Drosophila melanogaster: one gene and its partners. The protein of the gene in region 3 binds, or shares a complex with, the protein of the main gene of each other region. Each region holds a gene or a part of one and is shown on either strand. Other genes may lie near its edges. The genes, in order: Sgf29, wda and Spt20.

Region 1 (3,754 bases), on a different chromosome or scaffold from region 3:
TTAACTATTATTTGCTTATTTTATTCCGCGAGCAACGAGCGAAATTCGCAGCTCCTTCATGTGTTATTTCAGCGCTGCCACCGGGCCGAAACTGTTCTGGCGTGTCTGCAGCCCTGGTGGCGTTACCAGACTACTTACCATCCCGAATCTCCTAAATAAACCAAAACGCCTGTTACAGCGCCAAAAGTCGCGACATCTTAATTAAAAACATTAATAAAATTGTTAAAATGTCCAGCAGCAAACTAAGTCCCCGGGAATCTGGAGCCTATATCGTAGAAAATGCCAAGCATGTTCGTATTCTGCCTGCAGGCATTGAGAAACTGACCCAGGAAATCGTAAAAGGCCTAATAGAAAAACGCATTGCTGTGGAAAACTTCTCGCAGCACGAATTACATCCCAATCCAAATCAGCCGGAGGATTATTCCAAAGCAGCCGACTGGGTCTTTGTGTTGGACACCCTGAACTTTTGCTTTTGGACCCCCAGTGAGTAATTGATATTTATAGCAGCATCCACTATCTTCAATGGTAATCTTCCGCAGATAACTACACCAAATATAAGGTCGATGGCTATACCGGCTACTTTGCGCTGTGTGCTGCGATTAAGAGAGCCATCAAGGAAGGCGTGGATGTGATCAATCCCAAGTTCTATTCCCAGATTGATCTGAAAACCGTGGAGAACATTTTCCGCTCTGACGATGGCGAGACAGTGATTCCGCTGCTCCAAAAGCGTCTGGAATCGCTCCATGAAGTGGGAAAAGTTCTGATCGACAAGTACGACGGCAGTTTTGAGAATGTTATCAAGAAGGCGGAGAAATCGGCAGTTCGCTTGCTGGATCTCGTTGTGGAGGAGTTTCCCTGTTTTCGCGATGAGGCTGAGTTTGCTGGAAAGCGAGTTTCCATCCTAAAACGAGCGCAAATCCTAGTGGGCGATGTGTGGTCCTGCTACAGAGGTCAGGGACTTGGGTTCTTTAATGACATCGATCAGATAACCATGTTCGCTGACTACCGAATTCCCCAGGTGCTAGTGCACTTCGGCAGTTTGGAGTACACCAGTGAGCTAATGGAGTTCCTAAAGACGGATACTATTCTGGAGAACGGCGATCCCCGAGAGGTGGAGATACGCGGCGCATCTATATACATCATCGAACAAGTTAGGGATGCTGTGGTGAAGATACTCAAGGAGCAGCACCCCGAAATCTCACTGGACAACGTCAACTCCATTGTGATCGACCAATATCTGTGGGACTACCGGCGTCGGCACAATGCCGACCTGGAGCACATTCCCTTCCACAAGGTGCTGAGCATCTACTACTAACGACGGCAACACAAATAAAGACGGTTCTTTGTTAAACTGAATTGTCCTTTAATTATCCACACGCGGGGCAATCATCTACAGAGTAACAGGCTTTGGCTTGCCCTTCTGGGAAGCGATGCGCTCGTTGTAGCGCTTCACGGACTCCTCGCGGGAAAGGTTTCCCTTGCGTGCGTAGCGCTGGTTGATCAGAAATTTCACATCCATCTAAAGACGGGAAGGTTGTTAAAATCAACTCTAGATGCTAACTAAATATGCATATTTTTGAATACTTACACCCAGAGTGGACTCGTGGCGTTTGCGCAGCGGGCGCTTGATGCCATTACGATGGGCCTTCTTGTTCTGGTTGTGATTTGTGTGGTTCTTGGACTTGGCCATCTTAAACTACTCCGGGTATCCAAAGATTCGTTGATGGGGCGGCACATGAAAACAGAAAAAATGTTCGCCATTATAATTTTAGCTTGGGGTTAACACTTGGAGTTCACTTTTAGCCAACGCCAGTTGAACAAAAAGCCAACAACTGTTGAAATTTTCGTTGCATTTCTCGTGTATTAGGCACCTACGTTTTTCGCACACTGGAATTCCTAGCTGCAATTGAAGATATTATAAATAAAAATAGCCAATTGGAAAAACGCGGAGCACACTTACGGAAACGCGATGGAAAAGAAGGGAAAGCCAGAGAGGCTGTCATAGAGCGCAGAAAAGGGACTAAATAACGCCAACCACGTGAAGATATCGTGCTGTTATCTGCGTGCTGTTAGGCGCACTTGCTTCCATCTCCAATGTAAGAAACGTAAACAACTTTGAAAAGTAAATATTCGAGTTTGAGAAAAAGATCCACTAAAGTCAAATAATGAGATTATACGGTACAAAAATCTTAACAATAATTACTCTGTTTTACTCTGTAAAATAAAATTTGCTAAGATTAAAAAAATACTGAGGTAAAATATAAAACTATCGCATAGTTAATACTAACGCGTTGTCGACTTTACGCTTATGCTTGTTTTTGTTTTCATTGCGTAGGTAAACAAAGTGTTCAAAAAACAAATTTATTATATTGTTATAATATCGAAACAACATGCCACTGACTGCGGAGAGTGCCGCCCAACAGATTCAGGTAAAGATGTTAACAATAAATGTCGATATATACTATATTTATATGGCATTTACAGGATCGCCTGAAGGACATTCAACAAAACATTCACAATGTGGACGAGGAGCGTCGTCGTGCGGAAAACTCCATTGCTAGTCTGGTGCGATCTCTGCACGCCACCAATCAGAAGGTTAAGCCCCTGCTCAAGGCCAGTTTAACGGAGGCTGCGCAGGAGGAGGCCACAATCCGAGCCGCACTGGCGAAAATCCACGAGATTCGAAGCATTCGCAATGAGAGGCGCATCCAAGGTGGGTTAGTGATGGGATGTATAAACAGGATTTAATCTCGCATATTCCACAGCTCGCAACGCTGGAAATAAGGAGGCCATTCGACGGGGCGCCCTTATGAAAATGGTGCAGCTCTCAGCGCAAACGTTGCCGTTATTCGTTGGCAAACTAGGAGAACGAGCACCAGCTCTATGTGGAGCCATTCCCGCCGAGGGGAACTATGTGGCCAAGGTAAGCATTCATTTTGATTGGACAAAGAAGCTGGGATGATGATCTGACTAATCGGACGCCACTGTATAGGTTGGCGACAATGTTGCCGCATTAGCTAAGGGAATTGATGAGGAGGAGAACTGGATCCTGGCGGAAGTGGTGCAGTTCCTTCACCGTCAAAACAAATACGACGTAATTGACATTGACGAGGAGCAAAAGGATCGCCATGTGCTGAGCAAGCGAAAGGTCATCCCACTGCCTCTAATGCGTGCAAATCCTGAGACCGATGGTCACGCCCTCTTCCCCAAGGACACAGTGGTAATGGCGCTATATCCACAGACCACCTGTTTCTACAAGGCCATTGTCCATCGCCTGCCGCAAACCGCCACCGAGGATTACGAGGTGCTATTCGAGGATTCATCGTACACGAATGGCTATGCCGAACCCTTGCCGGTCGCACAGCGCTATGTGATTGCATATCGTCCAACGAAAAAGGGGGCTGGCAGTGGCAGCGGGAATCTATCATCAGCATAAAAAATGTATTATCTTAACTTTAAGAATTAAATGTAATTGTAATAATAGCTCCAATTAAAATTGTATTCAATTCACAATAGACTGGTTTCTGTCTGGAATAAGAAGAAAGTAATTTCAGGGTGGTATTTTAATACCGGATTTTTTGGAGAACGGTTACATTGATTTCCTAAAAAAAATAAATAGACTTTAAAGTTTGTAGGAAAACAAAGGGGAAAGGCAGGCTTATAAGATGAGTAAAACGAGCTTAGCGACGCAGACCAATGGCACGGCGGAAAATGGAAACTGTTTTGATATCCTCAAAGTGTCTAATTTGTTCGA
Region 2 (3,754 bases), on a different chromosome or scaffold from region 3:
AAAAAACTTTAGTTGATTAAAAATTGAAAAATAAAACCAATACTAAACCTGGAAGATGAACTTACTAGGAGTTATCAGCATATTTGCAATGTCGCGCCCTGTTGCGTTCCCGTCTCTCCTCCTCAGAGCACTTGACATCCTCATCGCTGCTGTCCTCATCCGTCTCCTCCTCTTGATTCGCGCAATTGTTCAGCTCCCAGGGACACCGCTTTTGCGGATAGCGTCTGTAGAAGCTCTTGCCGCGGCAGTAGCTCTGGTTTAACTGCCACAGCTGTACGGCAGAATTGTCGAACCCGGCTAACATGTGGCACTCACTGGGATCCAGATGGGCGGAGGTGAGGCCCCGAGAACGTTCACTGATTCTGAGAAATCGCGGCAACTCCACCTGAGACTTGAGTATCTGTTCAGTGGCCGATTTAAGGGTGTCCAAGCAGGCGTCTATATTCAGTTGTAATTTACTAAGCTCTGCAGATTCATCCGTTTCTACCTCCTGTTTGATGTCTGTTTCTAGCATAATGTTTGGCTCCTCAGCGGGTCGTTTTCGGTTCGACTTTTCAGTGAGGGATTTGCTTGGTCTTATGTCTCCGCGGGTATTAAGGGTTACTGCTGGTTTGGAAACAACATCGTCCTCTCCATCCTCACCTTCCAGGTCATCCGTCAAGCCAAGCAGGTGATCCTCACTAAAGGCGCGCTGCTCATTCTCCACTATATGGACATGCAACCAGGTGTAGAGTAGGTTCATAATTAAAACGTGGCCCCGTCGTTGGAGATAAGCGCATATCCTATTAACAACTACGGCTGTAGTATGTAGTTCGTATTTCGAAGATCGAAAATGGGCCACTGTGTCATCGGACTCTGCTGCCTCCAGCCGTGTGTAGCCACTCAGGGTTTGCACCAGGCGCATAAAGTAGTCCAGTTCCGTGTCCCCAGTGTCCTGGGCTTCCTTTGCGAAGCGTATGTTAAAAGTGGACTCATTGGCCGTAGTGGAGCATCCGTTGATCTTGGTAGGTGGTGGTGCATCGTACATATCCACGGGGGCCACCAAGTGAGCATATTTGCGCAACAACTCCACAGCGCCACGCGGTTCGCGAGCCTTGAGCAGATCCAGATAGAAGTGGCACAGCATGGGTCCATAAAAGCGCTTCATTTCCAGACGCAGCGGTTCGGCCTGGGCCTCCACGAACTGCGAAAACCGACCAAATTGCTGGTCCACAGTGTGCTGGTTGTTGGTGATAACCTGGACATTTGAAAAGGTGAAGCTATTGCCACCGTGCAAATCCGTATCCAGCATTTTGTTGACAGCAAACTGCTGTTTGTTTTGCAGCAGCAAAAAATCCGACCGCCGAAATCGTTCGTTGCTCTACGGGTTTGAATATTTGAACACTCTGAGGAATTGTATATTTGAAGATTATTCACTTACCACGTAGTTTTTCTGCTTCAGCAGGAGTCCCACGGCGCAGCGTAGCAAATCGTTTTTGGAGGAGGTCTTTTTGCTGCTCGCGCTCGACTTGTTGTTATTGCTGTTGCTGTAGACGGGCGATGCAGCATGTGCGTGGTTGCTGGCGCTGGGCAGGCTCATCGTTGCGTGTTAGCCTCGCTTTGTTCCGTATCCTGATCCCGTCCTGCAGTGCGTCCGATATGCGTTCGATTATAGTGCTGACAGCGGAGATGGGTTGTCCTATCGATGTGCATTCATCGATTTTAAGCGGCTGCAACAGCTGTTCTTTCAAAATTGTTTTCGTCAGTGATGGCTATTTGGCTTCTCTTTTATAACAATATTGATATTGAAATATTTTAATTTTAAATTTATTTTTACATTTTTAACTTATATTTATATTATATTTTATTTATATTAACTAGCTTTTTATTTTTAGCTCTATTATATTCTCTATTCTTAGCTAGTTTATTTGGCTATTGTCACCACTGAAGAAAGTCAGCTGTTTGTGTTGTTGGATTCCCGAGCGCTCTTGACAATTTCTTGTATTTTCGCTGCGGTATCTCAGTTCGAGTTTTTACGTGATATAAAACAGTACCTGGTCTTCAAAAAACGAGCCATTATGGGCACCACGACAAAGTTTGTGAACGAGTTCTGTGATATTATCGATTCCTATGGCGGGCGAGATAAGGTAACATAGAAGAGCCGCACAGCCGAGTAAATTTCCAATTAATTGAAAACACACCTGTTTGTTTACGTTTGAACCGAGTGTTTTTCCCAATTCGTATGCGCAAATTTAAAAAAATGCATCGTGGCATTTTGACTGGTTTCTATTTCCTTTTTGGACTGGTCCATTGAGGGGCTCGCTTGAAATCGAAACTGAACCAACAGGTTTCCATGTTGTTGCTGCATCGATGTTGGCATTGGTCTTTGGGTCTCGAACAAGGAAGCCACAGCAGTTTGGACCTTGCCTTACTTCTTTCTGATTCGCAATGGATTTTGTATTTCGCTTTTCGCTTATCAGTCGCAGTTCGGCGGCGATCGAGTCAAGATAATGCTCAATACTATAGCCGGCAAACCTTTAAGCCGCTACCAGATAAAGCGGATAATTCGTTATGAACGAAAGGTTTGTTTGGACTGCCGCCCATCAGGAGACACGCGATCCACACATTTCCACCATCGCGAGTTTATATACCCCTACAAGGGGTGTATACAGTGCAGACAAAGAGGGAATCTTGTATAGTGTATCTCTATTTTAATAGAAAAATCGAACCTTGAATACGATAAAATATTGTTCAAAGTATTTTAGATTTATTAATTAGAACAAATAATTTGTTATACTTGATAACCATTTGAAAATATAATATAATATATTATGTGGCTGTAAACAGCGAATGGGGTGGTCACGAACTTTGGAAATACTATAGGATATTTACATAAATTAGTCGTATAGCGACATTAGTATTCCTCCGAATTGCATAACTAATTCATTGATGGCAAAGCAAGCAAACTGAACCATTAATGGGTAAACAATGAAACCACCCACAACTCATTCCGGCCAGGACGGACGACCAGGAGCACTCCACTGGCGGCCATCACACGAGATGATTGTGGCATTCGTTGTATTCTTTTTATCGCTGATAGTATTTTATCTGTTTGTGACAACCAAGCAATTCCACAAATTGCAGGGCTGACTGGCGATTGGGGTCAGGTAGAGGCAAAGGTAAACAGCGATGCCAACTCTCGTGATAGAGCAAACACACGGCTTAACGAATTGCGCAGAACAATTATTACATATATGAAATTAAATACCTATTTCAGGTGATGAAGGCATTGTGCTACAGTGCCAAACTGGTGGCTGGCTACCATGCCAAGCGGAATCCGGAACTAGCCAAGCGATACGCCACCGCCAGCTCAAGGATCTCAGGTGCGAGAGCCACACTGCGTCTCATCGACGACATACCCATGATCCAATATGCTTTGGAGTATGGCTTGGGCGAGAATGAGCCCGATCGCGTCATGCAAGTGCTGGGAGTGACGGCCAACATTGTGGATTTGCTCTACTATCCCATCGAGAAGGTGTGCTGGCTGGCCGAGCACAAGATTGTGGATGTCAAGAATGCGGATAACTGGGACAATGTCAACTCCATATTCTGGGTGCTTTCGGTGTACCTGAACCTCATGAGGTACAGAAGAATTATTCGAATCGTCAGCTTTGAATTTTCAAATTAAATTGCATCTTCTAGGACAATGCGGAATTTTTCACTGAATCAGGAAAAGCTGAACCGAACGAATAATATAAACGAGTAAGTGGTCGTC
Region 3 (3,754 bases):
GACGACTCCGATGACTGCCCGTTCCCGTACCCAATCCCGCAGCATCGCTCGAGGTCTCGTCCTTGTCCGTGGGGGACCATTCGTTTGTTTGCGGATTTAGCACCATGTGCTCGTCATAATGCAGGGCCAGCGAGTATCCCTTATTGCCGGGATACAAGTTGACCACAATCGTGTTGAGCTTCTCCCGATCCACCAACCGCTCCAGTGTAAAGGATCGAGTGCGCTGCTTTAGCTGAAAGTGATAAGAGTCCTTACATAAGGTTTCCGCTTTTGATTGGCTCAACACTTACCCCTGTCTCGGCAAAGTAGTTTAGGTCGTTGCTCAGCAGTTGCAGGTACAGGTCCCTTATTTTCTCGTGCAGATTAAAGAACTTGCTGTTGCCCGACTGGCAGACGGATGAAGGTGGCTTGCTGTTGCTATTGGAGGAGGCAGCGCCGGCGCCAGCGCGCGCTGATTGCGACGACGAGGTGGCTGTGGAGACTGATGCGGCGGGTATAGCTGAGCTGCGACTAGAGGAGCTGCTCTCCTTGCTACTGCTATTGGACTTCTGGCGCTTGCTGGGCGACGACGTGGGCGATGCCAGGACATGGTGATTGTGCGTCTGGTGGAGGTGATGATGGTGCAGGTGGTGGCCGCCTCCACTGGCTGTTGAGTTGGCGGAGGGTGGCCGCTTCTCGGACTTCTTGCTGGACACACTGGCCGCTCCCGTTGAGCTATTGCTTAGACTGGAGTTAACGCCCGGCGGTGTCGACAGCAGAAGATCGGGCACCACCGGCGACGGCGACGTGATTGAGTTGAAGTTCGACATCGTTGTGGTGGAGGATGAGCACGAGGAGGGCGACGGAGCAATTGCAGTGGGCAGGCCGCTGGGCGTGGCCGAGGTCGGCTCCGTGAGCAGGCTGCCCAGTGAGCCGCCAGTGCCCTCGGTGGGGGACTCGTCGTCATCGAAGATACAAATGGGCGGCTGGGCAGGAATCTGTGGTATAGCCTGCAATAGGCTGGTCTCCAGGTACGATTTGCTGCTCGAGGAGGCGAACTGCTGCTGCTGGAGCGTGGGATGCAGCTGATGGTAGGACTGCTGCGGCTGCAGCTGCGGCGAGGATCCAGACGTGCCGTACTGGACGAACTGCGTCTGGTGGACACCCGAACCGTGGGCGTGGACCGCTAGGCCCTGGACATGGTCCGCGTTGCTGGAACCCTTTAACTTTTTGAGCGTGTCATTTATAATAAACTGTCGAAAAATAAAGTGTAAAATGGGAATTAATCGTATTCAGGCTGCATGAAAAATGCCACAGTTCTTACGTCGGCTTCTTGGCATGAGGAGTCCAGGCTTTGCATGGTGGTGCCAGCGGATTGCTAGGGGAGATCCAACGGAGGATGGCGCACCCAATTACCGACGACATCCAAGCACCAGTCTACGAACAATCCTGGCCAGGATCGGCGGCATTCGCATTGCGCTAGCAGGTGTCCGTGTTGCCAGTGAACGTCGAATTACGAATTTCTAGGACCGCAGACGCAGGGCTCCGTTGTTGTCTCCTACTTTCGCTGGCTGCTGCTGCTGCTGCTGCTGTCCATCGGTTAGTTTCGCCACACTCAGCACTCGGCTGTGCCGCATCAGGATCGTTTTGGGGTGCTCCTCGGTCCGTCTGTGTGACGAATCGCTGCACTGGAGGACACTGAGATCGGATCCCGATGGCGATTACTGCGGTTTCTTCACTCTTTTTCCACTTCCACTGCTGCTGCTGCTTTGCGTGACATTTTCTCTCTGCGCCCCTCTGCCGACGAACTCTCTTTCTGGCGCTGCTGCTCCGTGAATTTGCAAGGTCGCGCGCTCTGCTGCGGTTATGGGGCGAACAGTGGGCTGGTTCTTTAATGATACGCCGAGGATTGCTCGCTTTTAATTGTTTTAAAACTTTGTTTTATGCTTTTTTTTGCAATGTAAATGTACTGTACGATTCGTGCCGTGCGAATGCCAACAATCGTTATCGTTCGCTGTGAATGGCATTGTCGCCGTTCCGTCTGCCGTTAGTGGTGTGTGCACATTGGCTGCCCATGCACTGTGTGCTGTTAGGCGCGCGCTGTTAACGCTCTGTTAGCCGCCCAACAGTCATTTGAAAATTCAAAATATGCAATTCAAAATCTGAAATTTTGCAGTTTATTTCCCACTTTCGGTGAATGAATAGACAGACTTTGTAGGATTGTTTACTTATGTTTAATAGGTATATTATTAAGGATTAGTCTCTACCAACTAAGCGTTAAGAATACAAAATTTTGTCACTTGTACGTATACACTTTGTCATACACATTTATCCATATATATGTAAATATTCATATATATATATATATAATTATATCCGCGCGCTAACCGTTATCAATATTCAATAAAATCATTATATCAGAAACTTGTAATACACTCGCAGTTGAAGAATTTCCGTTCACATCAGCATGAGATCTTTAAACGTTAATTGTGTAGTTTGAAATATTTATAATAAAAACAGCTCTTGAGTTGAATCGTTGAGGATCAGGGGTTGCTTTTGGGTTGGGTTGTGTTGAGTTCTGTTGGGAATTGGGATCGGGATCGGGATCGGGTTGTGTGCGGGTTGGTGGGTGATTTGCTCGCTTGCTCCTCCTCTACTCCTTGTGCCCGCCCTGCAGCTTCTTCCAAGTTTCGCCCAGCGCCTTGGCAAAGTGGTCGTCCACCGAGGCTTCAGTCTTGGTGAATATCGAGATATTCGTGGACGAGGTGGGCGAAGCGGGCGGCGTCTGCGTCGAGGAGGCAGCCACGGCCGCCAGTCCCGGTTCAGCCTTCACCCGAATGATGGCCGGCATGCTGGGCGTGGGCGTGGGAATCTGCGACGGCGTCGGATTCGGAGTTGGTGTCGGTGTCAAAGTCGGCGCCACAACGGTGGTTCCGGCTATTCCGTAAGCCGGCGGTGGAGGCGGTGGTGTGTTGTATCTCGGCGGCGTGTGGTGTGGCGTGTCCAGGATCCGCCTGCCCGCCACCGCTGCCTCCATCACCTGGCTGACGGCCGTGGGTAGCGCTGGTGCCGATCCCGTGGCCGAAGGTGGCGGCGATGGCGGCGTTTGGGTGCGATGCAGTGCCAGCGACAGGGGAAGCGGTTCCTCCTGCGGCGGCGGCAGTTCCGGCTGCAGCGATTCGGGCTCCAGAATGACCCATCCCGACTTGGCCAGCGGCGAGCGTTGCTGCTGGTAGTGCTGCGATGCCGCTGTGCTGGTTGATGAAGGCAGTCCGTAGGCCAGTGGCGAAACCTGCTGCTTAGGTGTACCACTTGGCGAGGGCGTGGGTGTTGGCGTAGGCGTCGGTGACTTCTTGGCGAACAGGGCAGCATAGTTCTCGCCCAGTGAGCGTCGGAAGTGCTCGTCAATGTCGCACATCGCCATATCTGCAAGGCAAATCAAAGCATCAGGTTAGTATGATCGTTGACACTAATGTGCATATATGACTTCTCACCTGTAGAGTGGGCCTGCTCCGGTGGTTCTCGCTTGGGTGGAGCCTGGGTAATGACGCTGGGTCGACTGTTGGCCGCGTAGTTGGTCCCAGGCAAGGGTTCGCGATAGGGTGGCGGCGGTGAGGCTCTCTGCTTCAGAGCTCCCGTCGTCACCGACATGTCAATGGGACTGTCCATGTCGCGATCCTCTCGATCCCGCTCCCGTTCCCGCTCCCTCTCGCTGTTGCCTGCCTCGTGCGGCTGGTATCCGGCACTACGCTGACGCCGCTCGCGTCGCCATTTG

What was found.
Region 1: Spt20 (region 3) and Sgf29 share a complex: the UniProt entries of both Drosophila melanogaster proteins name them as parts of the spt-Ada-Gcn5 acetyltransferase (SAGA) complex.
Region 2: Spt20 (region 3) and wda share a complex: the UniProt entries of both Drosophila melanogaster proteins name them as parts of the spt-Ada-Gcn5 acetyltransferase (SAGA) complex.

Annotation. Positions count from the first base shown.
Region 1 is NT_033778.4:21,291,996-21,295,749, reverse strand, and holds Sgf29 (SAGA-associated factor 29kDa), read left to right. Parts: upstream 1-2,103; 5' UTR 2,104-2,253; intron 2,254-2,308; exon of another isoform or gene 2,309-2,335; 5' UTR 2,336-2,390; coding exon 2,391-2,429; intron 2,430-2,484; coding exon 2,485-2,713; intron 2,714-2,765; coding exon 2,766-2,923; intron 2,924-2,992; coding exon 2,993-3,436; 3' UTR 3,437-3,511; downstream 3,512-3,754. Other genes in the region: CG9752 (uncharacterized protein), read left to right, coding at 228-483, 540-1,315; RpL29 (ribosomal protein L29), read right to left, coding at 1,391-1,519, 1,589-1,690; CG30392 (uncharacterized protein), read left to right, coding at 3,666-3,754. UniProt on the Drosophila melanogaster protein: Component of both the SAGA and CHAT histone acetyltransferase complexes, which both predominantly acetylate histone H3.
Region 2 is NT_033777.3:23,256,421-23,260,174, forward strand, and holds the start of wda (will decrease acetylation), read right to left. Parts: upstream 1,668-3,754; 5' UTR 1,580-1,667; coding exon 1,421-1,579; intron 1,361-1,420; coding exon 66-1,360; intron 1-65. Other genes in the region: Pex11c (peroxin 11c), read left to right, coding at 2,490-2,561, 3,257-3,621, 3,682-3,741. UniProt on the Drosophila melanogaster protein: Component of the transcription regulatory complex SAGA, a multiprotein complex that activates transcription by remodeling chromatin and mediating histone acetylation and deubiquitination. The SAGA complex predominantly acetylates histone H3.
Region 3 is NT_037436.4:13,500,934-13,504,687, reverse strand, and holds the start of Spt20 (Spt20), read right to left. Parts: upstream 1,982-3,754; 5' UTR 1,340-1,981; coding exon 1,304-1,339; intron 1,233-1,303; coding exon 291-1,232; intron 233-290; coding exon 1-232. Other genes in the region: Tgi (Tondu-domain-containing growth inhibitor), read right to left, coding at 2,633-3,405, 3,474-3,754. UniProt on the Drosophila melanogaster protein: Component of the transcription regulatory complex SAGA, a multiprotein complex that activates transcription by remodeling chromatin and mediating histone acetylation and deubiquitination. The SAGA complex predominantly acetylates histone H3.